Linked DNA regions of Notamacropus eugenii. The protein of the gene in region 1 purifies or fractionates together with the protein of each later gene. This does not show direct contact. Links are inferred from orthologs where the notes say so. Each region holds a gene or a part of one and is shown on either strand. Other genes may lie near its edges.

Region 1 (7,777 bases):
TATCATCACTTTGCTACCTCACAACCCTCTGCAGTAAAAGAAGCAGGGGTAAAGAAAACTGAAGTTATCAATTTAGATTGAGGGGAAGGCATTTTGGGGCAGGAGGAGGAAGAGGCAGCTAGGTGGACCCATAGGGCATAGAGCACCAGTGCAGGAGTCAGGAGGACCTGAGTTCAAATCTCACTTCAGACACTTGACACTCACTAGCTGTGTGATCTTGGGCAAGTCACTTAACCCCAATTGCCTCATCCGGGGTCATCTCCAGTCATCCTGATGAATATCTGGTCACTGGATTCCGATGGCTCTGGAGGAGAAGTGAGGCTGGTGACCTGCACAGCCCTCCCTCACTCAAAACAAAGTCAAGTACAAGTCATGTCATTATTTCTCTCATGGCATGGTGTTCTTTGGCATCAAAGGATGAACATACCTAGTACTGGTATTGCTGGATCAAAGGGTATATGCAGTTTGATTGCCCTTTGGGCATAGTTCCAAATTGCTCTCCAGAATGGTTGGATCAGTTCACAACTCCACCAACAGTGCGTTAGTGTTCCAATTTTTCCAGAATCCAATATTTTCCTTTTTTGTCGTCTTAGCCACTCTGATAGGTGTGAAGTGGTACCCTTGGAGTTGTTATGATTTACATTCCTCTAATCAATAGTGATTTAGAGCATATTTTCATATGACTATAGATAGCTTTGATTTCTTTGTCTGAAAACTACCTGTTCATATCCTTTGACCATTTATCAATTGGGGAATGACTTGTATTTTTATACATTTGACTCAGCTTTTATATTTATATTTGAGAAATAGGGCCTTTATCAGAGATACCTGTTGCAAAAAAATTTCACTGGTTTTCTGCTTTCCTTATAATTTTGGTTGCATTGATTTTGTTTGTGCAAAAGCTTTAAAATTTCATATAATCAAAATTATCTATTTTACATTTTGTAATGTTCTCTATATCTTCTTTGGTCCTAAAATCTTCCCTTATTCATAAACCTGTCAGATATGCTGTTTAATTTTCTCTTAATTTGTTTGTGGTATCACCCTCTGTGTGTAAATCATGTACCCATTTTGACTTTATCTTGGTATATAGTATGAAATGTTGGTCTATATACCTGGTTTCTGCCACATTGTTTTCCAATTTTCTAGCAGTTTTTATCAAATAATGAATTTTTGTTCCAAAAACTCAGATCTTTGAGTTTATCATATGCTAGGTTACTATGGTCATTTACTATAATGTAATTTGTACCCAATCTATTCCACTGATCTACCATTCTATTTCTTAGTCTGTTTTTGATTGTTTTGATAATTATTGCTTCATAATACAGTTTGAAATCTAGTATGGCTGGACCACTTTATTTTGCATTTTTTTTCATTGATTTCCTTGCTATCCCTGAGCTTTTGTTCTTCCAGATGAGTTTTGTTATTTTTTTCTAGCTTTATAAAATAATTTTTGATCATTTGATTGGTATGGCACTGAATGAATAAGTTAATTTAGGTAGAACTGTCATTTTTATATTGGCTCATGAGCAATTAATATTTTTCCAATTGTTTAGACCAGAATTAAAAATCTGGCCTCAGACACTTACTCGCTATGTGACCCTGGACAAGTCACTTAACTCTGTTTTCCTCAGTTTTCTCATTTGTGAAATGAACTGGAGAAGGAAATGGCAAACCACTCCAATGTCTTTATCAAGAAAACCCTAAAAGAGGTCACGAAAAAGTTGGACATGGGCGAACAACAACAATTGATAAACATTTACTGTATGCCAGGCACCCTACTATGCTCTAGGGATAAAAATGGGAAACAGAAAGTCTGTATACTACAGGAAATCAGAATCTAACTTGGGAAGACAACAAAGGAAACTGACAAGGGGTGGGGCTGGGGGACTGTGAGAGGAGTCCGAAGGAGTATGCAGTCCAGCAGGAAAAGAAGACTTGGCTTGCCTGGTACCCCTTAATTGGAGGGTTTGGGAGGAGCTCTTTGTTTTGCCTTCCAATCAGAACCGAGGAAGTGTGAGTAACAAGGCTGAAGAGATTTTACAGGATGATGTGGTTCCTGGGGTGTGATGAACTAAGTACAAAGGGGTGTGGGAAAAGTCCAGAGTGGTCAGCTGGGAAATGAGTCAGCACATCCCATTGTGCTGTGCACATCCCGTTTAAATCCATGCTAACATGCTAGGTGGATGGAGAGGTTTAAGTCAATGAGATGGGTTGAATGCTGGACTTGGTGTCAAAAAGACCTGAATTCAAATCCTGCCTTAGAGGCTTATTAATGGTGTGACCCTGGGCAAGTCCTGTAACCTCATAAACCTTCACTCTCTTAATCTGTAAATTGAAGGTAATAATAGCATTTGCCTTACAGGGTTATTACATAGATATATGTAAAGCATTTTGCAAACCTTAAGGGACTATAGAACTAAAGTGGCTTTAATCCTGCTCTTGGTCATGCTGCCTGGCAACAGCAGGTATCTGGAAAATTCTGTCCATCATCTTCCTTTTCTTACTTAGTCTAATTTCTGACCACCTATTATAGGCATTCTTTTATTGAACAGTCAAGAAAACTTACGATCACTGTTCCATAGAACTGATAAGTGTTAGAAACATGCTTGACACTGAAAAAGTATGAAGAAAAATGTATTAGAGTTCAGAGGAATTGAACACTTTAGCCAAAGTAGACTCTTCAAAAAGGGGAAGAGAGAGAGATACAGAAGCTAATGCATTTTTATAATGTTAGTGAAGGACAGATTCTCCCACCAGAGGATGGATTGGTCCATTCTCTTTCAGGTCACAATCTTTTGACATGCCCACTGTATGTCATTAAGCAAGCACAGCTGGATTTTTTAGGTTGCCCTACCAGTGACTCCAGCTGGCTTAAGCTGGACCAATTTCCTTCTGAAAGCCGCTAACCGTTTTCTGATTGATCAGGGTCTCCTGCAGTTTTTATTCAGTAACCTTAGGGGCTAACAACCTTTATGGACATTTAACCCCTGCTTTCTCTTGCAAGTTTCTAACTTTTTTCACCTGACCGTGCTAGGTTACAACTAGTCTGACTATTATCACTCAAAGCTGGAAGTTTCTACCCTGTGGAAACAGAACTCTTTCCTTTGTTTCCTACATAAGGAATAATGCTACCTAGCAAGCCTATTCACCCCGACAGAAGGAGGCAACCATGGTACATCTCCAGGAGTAAGTTTTTAGACATGGACACTGTGAAAATGTGTTTTGTTGACCGTGCAGTTTTGCTTTTCCGTCTTTCTTTTCTCAATTCCCCTCTCCCCACTGAGGTAGGAGATGTAGAAAATAAATGCTTGTTAATTGAAAAAAACATATAATTAAAAATCAATAGAACTGCTCATGTGGCTGAAACCTACAGGTGTAATGTTTCCTGCCTCCTCTCACCCCACAGGAAAGGCTCCCCTGGTCCTTTGGATAACCCCCCTCAGCAGCTGGAATCACCCCCAATATGGTGAATGCCTTTGGAAGTGGAACTGTCCCATAAATATGTCTGGTGCCTGTTTTTGTATCCCCAGAACGGAGCACAGTCCCTGGAATGCTGCTTTTTGCTTGTTTCCACTTGTGTCTGAGTCTTCCTGACCCCTTTGGGGAATTTTCTTGGCAAAGCTACTAGAGTGATTTGTTATACTCCTCTCCATCTCATTTTACAGATGCGGAAACTGAGGCAAACAGGGTTAAGTGACTTGACCAGGGTCACGCAGCTAGTAAGTGTCTGAGGCTGGATTTGAACTCAGGTCCTCCTGACTAGAGCACTGTGCCACCTAGTCGCCCCAATACCGGGTAGACAATAAATGTTTATTGGATTGAATTGAATCTGTATCCCCAGCTAGGTACAGTATCAACTGTAAGCGCTTAACAAATTATTTCTCATTCATTCATTCATTCTAGAACTTTCTCCAAGAAAAAGATGCCTCTTGTGGGTCCTGGCACTGGGGATGGAGCCCAGAACATAACAAGGAACCAAACGGAGCTCCTGCCCTCAGGGAGCTTGGACTCTAAAGCGGGCTGCAGCTCGAGTTCAAGGTTAATTCTGAATAAATATAAAGAAACTGGGAAAGGGGCTGGCTCCCCGCAAGCCTCGCCCCCGCCCCGCCCAACTCCTGGCGCCCTCCAGCGCTCTCGGCTTCGCCTGCCCACACTTGTGTGGGCCGGGCTCGCCTCTTCCGGGTCAGGTGACCAACAATGGCCACCTGACCCGGCCCGAGTTCCAGCTGTCGAAGGCGGAAGTAGAAGAGGAGTTCGGCGCCGCTGCTTGGCCTGCTGCAGGTAGGGATCTAGCCTCGGAGCCGGGCCGGGCGGGCGGGCCCCGGGAGGGTCGGGCAGCCCGGGCCGGGGCGGGCCGAGGCTTGGCTGCCGGCTTTTGAGGCGGGGGGAGGCGGCTTCCTGTGGGAGGGGCCTGGGACGGTGGTTCCGGCCTCTGAGGAGGGGTTTGTCTATACACCCACTTTGGGAGGCTCGGGGGGAGGGGAAGGGAGGGGGCGGGAGCGTCCCGCGGAGAGCCGGGGGCAGGGCAGGGCCCGGCGCCGGTGACCTGGGGGCGGGGGCTGGCAAGGGGCTGGCAAGGGGCATCTCTTAAGCGCCTACTGTGTGCCGGGATCCCCGGAAAGGCAAAAAGCGGACAGTCCTCAGGCTGGAGGAGCTGAGAGTGTGAGAAGCCGGGGGCGAAGGTCGTGGGGAGGGAGCCCTGGCTGCTCCTGCTCCGGCCGCTGCCCCCCCCTCCGCTCCCCTCCCCCCTCCCCCCTCCCCCCTCCGCTCCCCTCCCCCTCCCCCTCCGGCAGGGTTCCCTCGGTCCGCTTCATCTTTCCGCGTCTCCTGCCTCCGACGCCCCGGTTTTTCCACTCGTGCCGGCGTCCCCGCTCTCCAGAGATCATCTTTCCTGGCAGCCTCCTTTAGCCCAGCTCACCCTGCAGGCTTCCAGAATAGAATAAATAAAATAGAACCCGGAAGAGCCGTGCGCCCGGCCCGGCCCGGAAGCAGCCCTCGGGTCCCGGCCGTCCCAACTCTACAGGCGGCTTCCTGCTCACGTCCTGCGTTCCCTCTTTATTTTTCTCTTGTGTCCGAGCTGAATTATTGAGTCCAGTCCGGTCCTGCCTGCCTTGGTAACAGATCCGCAGGGCTGAGCCGGAGAGACCTTTGTTCCTGTGGGTAAAGACGGGGACTCAGAGAAGTAGCTTTTCCTTGTCCCCCCGTGCACTTGCTGTATGTAGGATGTCTGTGTGAACGCATAGGTTTACGTGTAAATCCGCATTGATATAGATTTGTATATTCTGTATGCTTCTATAAATTTATGTAAGGTAGCACTCTGCAGTAATTCATTTTAGTTAATTCATTTTAATTAATTTTAAACTCTTACCACTGTCCCCCAGAAGTTTGGATATTCATGATGAAGCCCAAGTGAAAGGCAGTTTTGAAAATAAAATAAGCTTTAATTCTTTTTAAACCAAAATTATTTAAAGGATTTCAGGAAGGAAAGGGTCTAGATTGTAGCTCTACTCTGCCTCCATAAATGGTATTTATGAGTTTCAGTGGTCAGAAACATGGTGACTTTACCTTTAGTGATGAGACTCTACAAAATTAGGTTGAGCCTTGGATGTACAGTCTGTTGAAGTATCTGCATATGAAGTCTTCCAGACAGGTGAGACGTGTAAGAGTGTATTTTCTACTGATGTAGCTTTTAATGAATGAAAAATCACTTGTTAAGCACTTTTTTATGTGTCAGGGTAAGGGGCTTTGGTCCAGAAAGTTACAGGTGAGCCAACCTAAAGATCCCAAGGTCACTTCTGTGCCCCAGATTAAACATGAGAGTAGGTTTTAGAGCTTGTGAGGGCCCTGAAGATCATCTGTAGTCCAGCCATCTCCTTTTACAGATGAGCAAAGGAGGCCCAGAGGGGGGAAAAGATTTGCCCAAGGTCACATAGTCACATAGGCGACTGAGCAAGGATTTGCACTGAGGTGCTCTGTTGCCAAATTTCCCTTTCTGTCCACTCAATAATGCTGCAGTTTTGTGGAAGATTACAAGCCTTAAATAGGAACTAAAATCCTACAAAATGCACATAATGTTTTGTAATATTTTGGGGTTGGAAAATTATTGCTTCAATTCCTTTTATGGGAGAAAAACTCAGTACTTTGCACCTATCAGAGTCAATTTCGTGATTACTTTGAAGTATTGTAAAAAGAGGGCTTTGAATACCTTTCATGTTTTTTTCTCAAATGCATATAGGTCCCTACTCCAGCTTGCTTTTGGTTTAGAACAAGACTGAGTGTCTCAAAACAGTAGACATCTCTTTATAAATAAGAGACAGAGGTAGTCATATTCCTAGCTCTTCCTCAGCGCCCTTTTGTGTCCTCTATGTGGTTGCTTCATTTTTAGTTTAAATGCCTATTTAAACTTATCTACTTTATTTACCTCCGTTTTGTGGCTTTGTTACCAAAATTTGAAAACATGAAATTGGCATGTTGAAATCTGTCACTGACCAGAAGATTCATGGTGGGCCTAGGCATAGTTGTTGGCAAGTAGTAGAAATAGCAGTAATGCTTCTAGTCTCATTTAATTCCCAAAACATCCAATGGCATAGGCAGGGCGGTTGGCGTTCCCATTTTGAGGTGAGTAAACCTAGAATCAGAAGGACTTGGCCAGGGTCCTTTGGCAAGTGACAGTGAAATTGAGAATCCAGATCTTTTGATTGTTTACTCCTTTGCCCCAAACATAGTTAGACAAGGTTATCTATTTTTGGGCACCAGTTCTAAGTTATTACTTCATTATTTCCAAGGAAAGGGGAGGGGAAACTTTAGCTATCATTAGTAGCTCTTTGTTTCCTGGAGGAAACACTATGCATCTTAAAGAGTCTATTCTGCTAGATGTTAAATTTTCAAGCCAAACAACTTTATTCTGTGTTACAACACGTTGTTTAATTTCCAATTGAAGTTTATTAAAAGTTAGTTTAGTACTTCTGGAAATTTTATATCCCAGCATGTTGTCTTTGATGATGGGATTGGGGATGGGGGTAAGGGTGGCTCGGGATAACCATCTGCCAGGCACTATGCTAAACTCTTTACAAATTTTATCTCACTTAATCCTCACAACCACCTGGGAGGTAGACGCTGTTATTATTGCCTCTGTATCTAGGGAACAGACAGAGGTTATGTGATTTGCCCAGGGTCACACAGTTGAGAACTGTTTGAGATTGGCTTTGAACTTAAGGTTTCCTGAGTTTCAGGCCCAGTGCCTGGTCTACTGGTCTTTTACACACAGTTGGTGCCTTTTAAATAGTTGTTGAATTGAAAGAGATTGATTTTAATTGGATTTGTTCTTTATTTAGGGAGTCCTTAAGAAACTTGGAAGTTTCTCCTGAAAAGTCTTGAGCTGTTTTGGTAGGAAGGCTGTCCCTCCCTGGGTGCCGTCTGGCCTACAGAGAAAGATTTCAATAGTGGCTTGTGGGCTTTGGGGTGTCAGGAGGGTGTTTGTAGGAGTAGTGTTACTTATGACCACAATCGTAGGAAGTAATAGATAAAGTTGTTTTCAAGGATCTTTGGAGTAGGTTTTGTTTTGTTTTTCCTATACAGATTCCGGAATTTCTTTGAGGTTCAGGAAAATGGAAAATCTGCTCATAGAATTGAAAGTGGGCTAATCTCACTATTCCACACATTTGCTTTGGCTGTCCCCCATCCCTGGAATGCTATCCCTGCTCACCTCAACCTTGTAGCTTCTCTGACTTCATTCCAGACGCAACTCAAAGCCCAGCCTCCCCCCTTTCCTCCT
Region 2 (7,126 bases), on another chromosome or scaffold:
CTTTCAAAAGGAAACTCCCCATCATTACCCTCCAGGAAAAGCACCAGGGTATCCATATTTTTATGGGCCAGCACTATTGATTAACATTCTATACCCCTAACTTAGTTAACTACTAATATCTCACAGGGAATGTCAACGTAACATATCAGTTCACAGTGCCTAGCACAATGTCTTGCCCATAGTATGCATTTAATGAATATTTATGGAATGAATGAATGACTATCTAAGAAGCAATCCTAAATTATTAGTGAATCACTGTTTCAGATTAAGAATAAGTTAAAATAACTGAGGAAACAGGAAAAAGGTGTGAGGAATAAAGCAAAAACCATGAAATTTTCCCAAACTAAAAAGCTCTTAAGAAATACATTATATTAGTTTAAAATAATTAAACAAACATGAAATATACTTGCCACCCAAACTATCACTGTATAACGGTCAGCCTTCCCAGAAGCTATGTTTGCCTTGAAAGGGTCAGCTGACAAAGGTCCCCTGCTTTGCCTTCCTGTTGAAAGGTGCAAGACCGGTAGTCTGGGAAACAGGACGCTGATTTACATGTCTGCTGGATGGGGTCTTCCCATCTCCCCAACCCCTTCATTCTCATGGAGAATCTATTCTAGCAAAAGTTTGAGGTTTCTTTTTTTTTCCTAATAAAGAATGTCACCTTTTCTCCCCTGTTAAAAACATTTTAAAATAGACAAAGGCCCTTTCCACCACCATACTACATTAAGCTATAAAGAGCCCACTGTCCTCCAGAGTCATCACTGATTATACATACAGAAGAAACCTCATAAATAAACCTCAGACATTATAAATTACAGTTCAAAAATCTCTAGAAATGCCTCCTCACAGATGTCTTGTATCCAACCTCAAAACAAAGGGAAGTTCTTTGATTTTTTTGTTGGATATTCATTGTTTCCTGTTTATTCCAGGGTGAGGGTCAAAGAGAAATTCAGCATGCCAGTTTCCCCTAAGTCTCCTCGGCAAAACACAGATTAAGTGTAAAAACAGTCTAACACAAGGTAATAGACTTCCTAGCCAACATAAGGAGCTTCTGACAACCTTGTTCACATCAACTGATGCAAGACTGATCAGTCATAGATAAGACAGGTAAGAAAACCTAGATTTGAACTAAGATAACCATAACAACAGTATCTGAGATTATAAACTGGGTTTGTTTTGTGGTTGATTAGGGTTGGGTTTGCATGTGGGTGTCTTTCAGACATCCTTCTCACCTTCCTCATTTTTCCCCTGAAAAACTTCTCTGCATGGTCCTGGATATGCAGGGCTTTCTCTACCGGTCAAAATCAGAACCGACTTGACTTGGTCTACCTGGGGCCAAAGCCGGATGAACTCTTGGCTCCTACTACCGCAGCTGCACTCTGTGCTGTGCAAAATTAACTCTTTCTACTGCAGTTAGCAAGCACAACGGTGCTCACAAGAGCGACACTAGGCACCGTACAAAGGGAACCGACTAATTATCTGGAGTAATGGTAGGGAGAATAATTTTCTGCAAAAACAACGATGCCCAAGGCAGACCAGCAAAAATAAGGCTTGCAGTGGCTGGCATTGCAAGGTGCAATCCCATTCACCTTTGCAACTGGATCGGGGAAAACCCCACGACCTAAGGCAGCTTCCTCCACTCCTGCACCATCCCGGTCCGGTCCCCACCCCGTCGCACAGACAGCCAGACAGACTGTGTGCACTTCCAGTCTCCAGGGAGAGAGGACTCGCAGGCAGAGGCGAGCACAGAGGAAGGGCGGCGGTGGCGACTCCGTTCCTCTCTTACCCGAGACCAGCACCTGCACCCCCACCTCGCACCCTGGAAGTTCCCATAGGTCCGGCTCAACCCCCTGGATGTCCCCTCATCCAGTTCCCAGCATTGTCCTGTCCCTGTTTCCCACCCCCACCCCTGCTGGATTCGATGGCTGAACTTGGGGCCAGACGTCTGAGCCCTAGCCAGACCCCTACAGTCCCCGCTCCCCGAAGGGAGCTCCCAGCCTCACTCACCTGCAGCCGCCCCCTCCCTCTTAAGGACCGAGGACCGGTGGGGAGACGGAGGCGGGGGAGTGGAGAGGGGAGGGCTGCAGACAGGCACAACCCGGGCCAGACAGTCAGGAAGGGGCCGCGCCAGAGCCGCAGCTTTCCCGGCCCGAGAGCCAGGGGCGGGTGTGCTGGGGAGAGATGCCCCCGGGGCGTGCAAACCCAGAGAAGAGGCGTGGGAGGGCCGGAGGGCCGGAGCTGACCGCTGGGGACGCACTAAGACTGAAGTGTCTTGTCTCTTTAAGAGTCGGAGACCTTAAACTTGGGCCTCCCTCCCCCTCCCCCTTTCACTTTCCCAGGGACTTTCAGTCTGTCTGGCGGCGGCGGCGGCGGCGGGGACTGCGGCTCCTCCCCGGCTCTCTGGGATTCCCCGGCCGGGGCTGGGGAGCTGCGGCCGCCACGGCTGCATCTCCACTCCTGGCACCCCGGCGGGAACTCCGGAGCAAGAGAGGAGCGGAGGAGAGAAGGAGGGAGGGAAAGAAGGAGGGAGGGAGGGAGAACGAACGCGGCAGTGGCTGCACTCGCCTCCTTCCCGGAGCCCCGCGGCTGCCCCTGCCTGCAGCAGCGACCCCCTCCCCGGGCTGGGCCAAGGGAGGCGGGGGAGATGCGGGGAAGGGGTCGGGGAAGGTGGCGGAGGGAGGGAGGCTGCCGCTGCTGCTGCCGCCGCTGCTGCCTGATGCAAAGTGTCCTACCTCCTGCTCTTCCTCCTCCTCTCCTCCTCCTCTTCTCCTCCTCCTCCTCTTTTTCTTCCTCCTCCTCCTCCTCTTCCTCCTCCTCCTGCCGCCGCCGCCTCCCCCTGTCTGTCTCCAGCAGCGTATCTGTGTGCGCGGAGGGCTGTGTCTGTCTCCAACTCATTCCCAGTCTCTCCTCCTCCTCCTCCTCTTCCTCCTCCTCCGTCTGTAGCTAGTCGGTGACAGGCAAGGGGAGAAGGGGAAAGGAGAAGGGGGGAGGGAGGAGGAGAAGGGAGGCGGATTTGGGGCAGGGGGGGCAGGGGGGAGGAGGGGAGCAAAGTCGGGGCGGGGGGGGGGGGGGTGTGGAGGAAGCTTCCAGCCCAGCCCGCTGTGGTCGCGAGTCCTAGGCTACACTGACATCTGCCGGGCTGAGAGGAGAGAGGAGAGGAGAAGACAAGGAAGGAGAGGGACTCAAGTTCAAAGCAAGAACTAGGGAGGGACTGGGGAGACTTCTTTGAGACTGCAAAATCTGGGGGAGGAAGTATCTTTCGATTGGGTCTTTCACAGTGACTGCAACCTAAGCAGAACGGATTCTTCCTTTGGCAGCCCCGTATTCGTGATTATTTCTTAGCCTCCCCTCTCTGATAGGCATTACTTTATTTCATCATTTTGCGCTAATGCTCTTGAATAACGAATGCCCGGGGAAGGGCTGGGAGAAGGGGGAGGCAGACTAAGGAGAGGTGCACACAACCACAGGAACCCAGAGGTGGATCGGTCTACTGAATTCCGCCCCTATTTTAAACCTGAGGCAATCCGCGCCCACCCACACAACTTGAACTAATTCGGGTATCAGAGTAACAGTAATAACTGAAATGTATACAAATGTTTTAAAGTTTGCAAAGCGCTCATCCTTGTTTGGGATGTGTCCGCTGAACGAGTTAATCAGATAAATGTCTGCACAGACTGAAAGTCCACTCCCAGAGCTGATCGTAAGTTTCTTCAGCGGTATAAAGCTTCTGACAGGCTCCCTTTCCCCATCAGAGAAATGAGAAAAAGTTAATACTTTTTTCCTAGTTAATACTAGAGTTAATACTCTTTTCCTAGAAACTTAGCTGCTTGAAAGAGTTAAATGGCACTTGGTCTTTCAAGCTGTTTCTGACTTGGGTTTCATTTGTATCAGGGAGACTAGCCTCTCAATATAGTGGTGGTATAACTAACTGAACCTGGTTTTTAAAAAAAACAACACCAAAACAGGCTATTCAACTTGATTTCCTTTAGTTTGTGCCGGAATCAATTGGACGTTTTAAGCCAATTTTGTTCTTCTGGATCTCCAAATTGGATGAAGTTTTAAGTTCTGGTAAACCAAGCTAAAGAAGACTACGTCAAAAATGAATGGTTACGGTAGACAAGACTCTACAAATCTCAACTCTCAATGAAAGTTCAGGGTTGTATCCAGTCGCCAAAACTGGATGAAAAAGAAATCGGAGTCCCAGTAAGTAACCGAAACAGAGTCTCCAAATAAACTAATTCAAACTTCACTTCTCAAAGGGGTTAGAACAAGGAAAGTAGGAAGGGGGGAGCAAACCCCTAGCTCCAACCTATTTGGAGAGGTGAGAACTTCCCATCTACAAACAATGCTCAGATAAATCTGCTTATGTAATGTAATTACTCTTGGTCTTGTAATACTACTATTTCTAGGGCCATGTCTTCACCAATAAAGGAAAGTAGAAGTTAGAAATTATATGAATAATTAAAACTGATGACCTCCTCCCTTCCCTGACCCCCCCCCCCCAACCACTACAAAAAAAAAAAAAAAGCTAGATAACTAAAAATGACTTAATCTGACTCCAGGCCAATTCCCAAGGAAGGGCAAGGTTTTCCACATATTTTCTCATTTCATCCTCACCAAAACCCTGTGATAGGTGCTGTTATTATCTCCATTTGACAAATGAGGAGGAAGTTGAGTCTGAGAGAAGTTCAGTGGCTTAACCTGGGTCAAACAGCTGGTAAGTATCTGAGATACAATTAAACTCATATCTTCCTGACATCAAGTCCAGTGGTCTCTCCACTGTATCAGAAAAGCAAGTCTTATTAGTAAAATTACATTTTTATATCCAATTAAGAACTATAAAGGGTGTATTTTGGAGTGCTTTTAAAAAACTTGTGTAGTTCCATTAACCCATTAGGTCATCCTGATTACTACTCCATAATAATTCAATTCAGCAAATGGTACCTACTATTCCTAATATTTGCATGGCTTTGTACAAAATGTTTTTGTAGACATTATCCCATTATCTTCATGTAACAATCATGTCAGGTAGACTTACAGATCTTATAGATCAGGGCTTCTTAAACTTTTTTTCTGCTCTTGGCCCCTTCAGCACTTATTAAACTGGGGGGTCTCGCCCCTATATCCCACAGTTTAAGAAGTGCTCTTATAGATGACAAAACTGATGTTTGATAACAATGCCTAAGGTCTCCCAGTGACAGCCTGGGACTAAAACACAGATCTTGTGATCACTGGTCAAATACCCATTCCACATAATCACAATATAAACTAATGACTGGTATTTAGTGTATTAGATCTTCCAGTGCATTCAGTCATGGAATCAAGAAAAGAATATGCCATTGCCATTGTGGGCAGAAAGGCAGAACACCCTCCCCCTAAACAACCACCACTGCCTATGGCAGGTACAAAGAGTACCAAAGTACCAACTTGACCAAAGCACCAAACCCAGGCATTGTAACCATAATACCTCCATTACAAGAAATTCATTCCTTTGAATTAAGGGTACAATCTGGTCTCAATCTCATAATTAATATAATGAATCAATTAATCTTGTATTGTCTTTTCAAATTAAGTATCTGAAACTCCAAACTCTTTCTAGGAAGGAACATGACCTGACTTCCCTGTATTCCCATTCTCCTTGGGCAAAGATGGTACAATACCTGCCTTGAATTTCAGCTACCCTTCCCCCACTGTCTCTCTAGGCAGCCGAACTAATAGGAAAGAAGGGTAACTGCAGGCTAAAGTGAAGGAAGTAATTATGTGCCAAACTTATGGAGGGCCAAGAGTTGGAAGTGTTTCATTCAGCCCTCTGTAGTGTCTTCTATACTGTCATTGTAATTTTTCTGTAGCCATAATTATGCAACATTTATTGGAAATTAATGTGCTTAAGTTATACTCTAGTTATATTGGAGCCAACATAATAAAGGACATCTGTGAGAAAATAATATTAAGTTGGGTGTAAAGCATTCAAAATTCATGTCAACTTCAGGATCATAGACTTAGAGCTAAAAGGATCCTTGAGGTCACCTACTCCAACCTCCTTATTTTATAGATGAGGAATCTAACAACCCACAAAGGGGAAATAACTTACTCAAGGTCAAAAAGCTAATTAGTTCAAGAGCCAGGATTCCAAGATTCCAACTGAAGTCCTCTAACTCCAAAACCATCTTTCCTTGCTTTGTACAATTTTGCATTTCGTTTCAGCCACTTTTTCCATTTCACGTTTTTTTTCCCATTTCAGTATGTTATTGTAAAGGAATGGGGTTCGGCTTAGACAATTACCCCACTTAGAGTGATAAAATGCTATGCCCTGATCAAATGAGAACACATCTCCATAATTCACTGTGTGAATAAGTCCTGGGCCCTTGCTCTGGGGGCAAAAGGAAGTCTGTTCCAATTGGCTGAGGAACTAAGTTATGTCCCCTTGATATTTCAATGTTCCTTAGGTTCTCTTCGGACCATATTGGAAGGGAGTCCTAGACCAGGGCCAAGGCACTCTCTTCTCTCCCTAGTAATTCCTCCTTAAAGGAGGCTCTCTCTCCCACCATCAGACAATTGTTCATATTTAGTGAACAATTAAGATGTGTTCTTACCCAATAAAAGTATCAGAGCTTAGTATCTTACCACATATTTTAAATGGGGTGAGTAGTTTCATTGATTTACTCAATGATGACTGAATACCATGACCCTGACATATATAAGGATGAGTTGAGGGAACTGTAGAAATTTAGCCTGGAAAAGAGAAGACTTAGCCATCTTCTTAGCAAAGAGAAGACATGATAGCAATCTTCAAATATATGAAGACCTATCCTATGGAGGAGTGATTTGTCATGCTCTACTTGCTTACTATTAACAGAATCAGGAGCACAAGTTAAAATCTTCATAGATGCAGATTGAGGCTTGACAGAGAGAAAAACTTCCTAACAATTATGGCTATCCAAAAGGGAAATGGATTGTCTCCTTTGCCAAATGTCTCCAAGAAGAGGCTGGATGAGCACTCAGATTAGTTGTAGAGGATTCTTGGTCACATGTTTTGGACTGGATCATTTATTCCAACTTTAAGCTTCTATGATTCTGTTATCCTATGGATGAAGTTAAAGGAAAAAGAGAGAGATGCCACAATACA

The links. The genes of interacting proteins can lie anywhere in the genome.
Region 2: the proteins of WWP2 (region 1) and LDLRAD4 purify together in Homo sapiens (affinity purification with mass spectrometry; 3 studies listed by BioGRID and IntAct, counting the BioPlex papers as one, with this or other methods). This does not show direct contact. The link is inferred for Notamacropus eugenii from reciprocal best matches to the Homo sapiens genes WWP2 and LDLRAD4.

Annotation. Positions count from the first base shown.
Region 1 is NC_092872.1:709,227,445-709,235,221, forward strand, and holds the start of WWP2 (NEDD4-like E3 ubiquitin-protein ligase WWP2), read left to right. Parts: upstream 1-4,767; 5' UTR 4,768-5,608; coding exon 5,609-5,653; intron 5,654-7,777. UniProt on the Homo sapiens protein: E3 ubiquitin-protein ligase which accepts ubiquitin from an E2 ubiquitin-conjugating enzyme in the form of a thioester and then directly transfers the ubiquitin to targeted substrates.
Region 2 is NC_092875.1:229,126,647-229,133,772, forward strand, and holds the start of LDLRAD4 (low-density lipoprotein receptor class A domain-containing protein 4), read right to left. Parts: upstream 3,011-7,126; 5' UTR 2,733-3,010; exon of another isoform or gene 2,008-2,732; intron 1,860-2,007; exon of another isoform or gene 1,233-1,859; intron 1-1,232. UniProt on the Homo sapiens protein: Functions as a negative regulator of TGF-beta signaling and thereby probably plays a role in cell proliferation, differentiation, apoptosis, motility, extracellular matrix production and immunosuppression.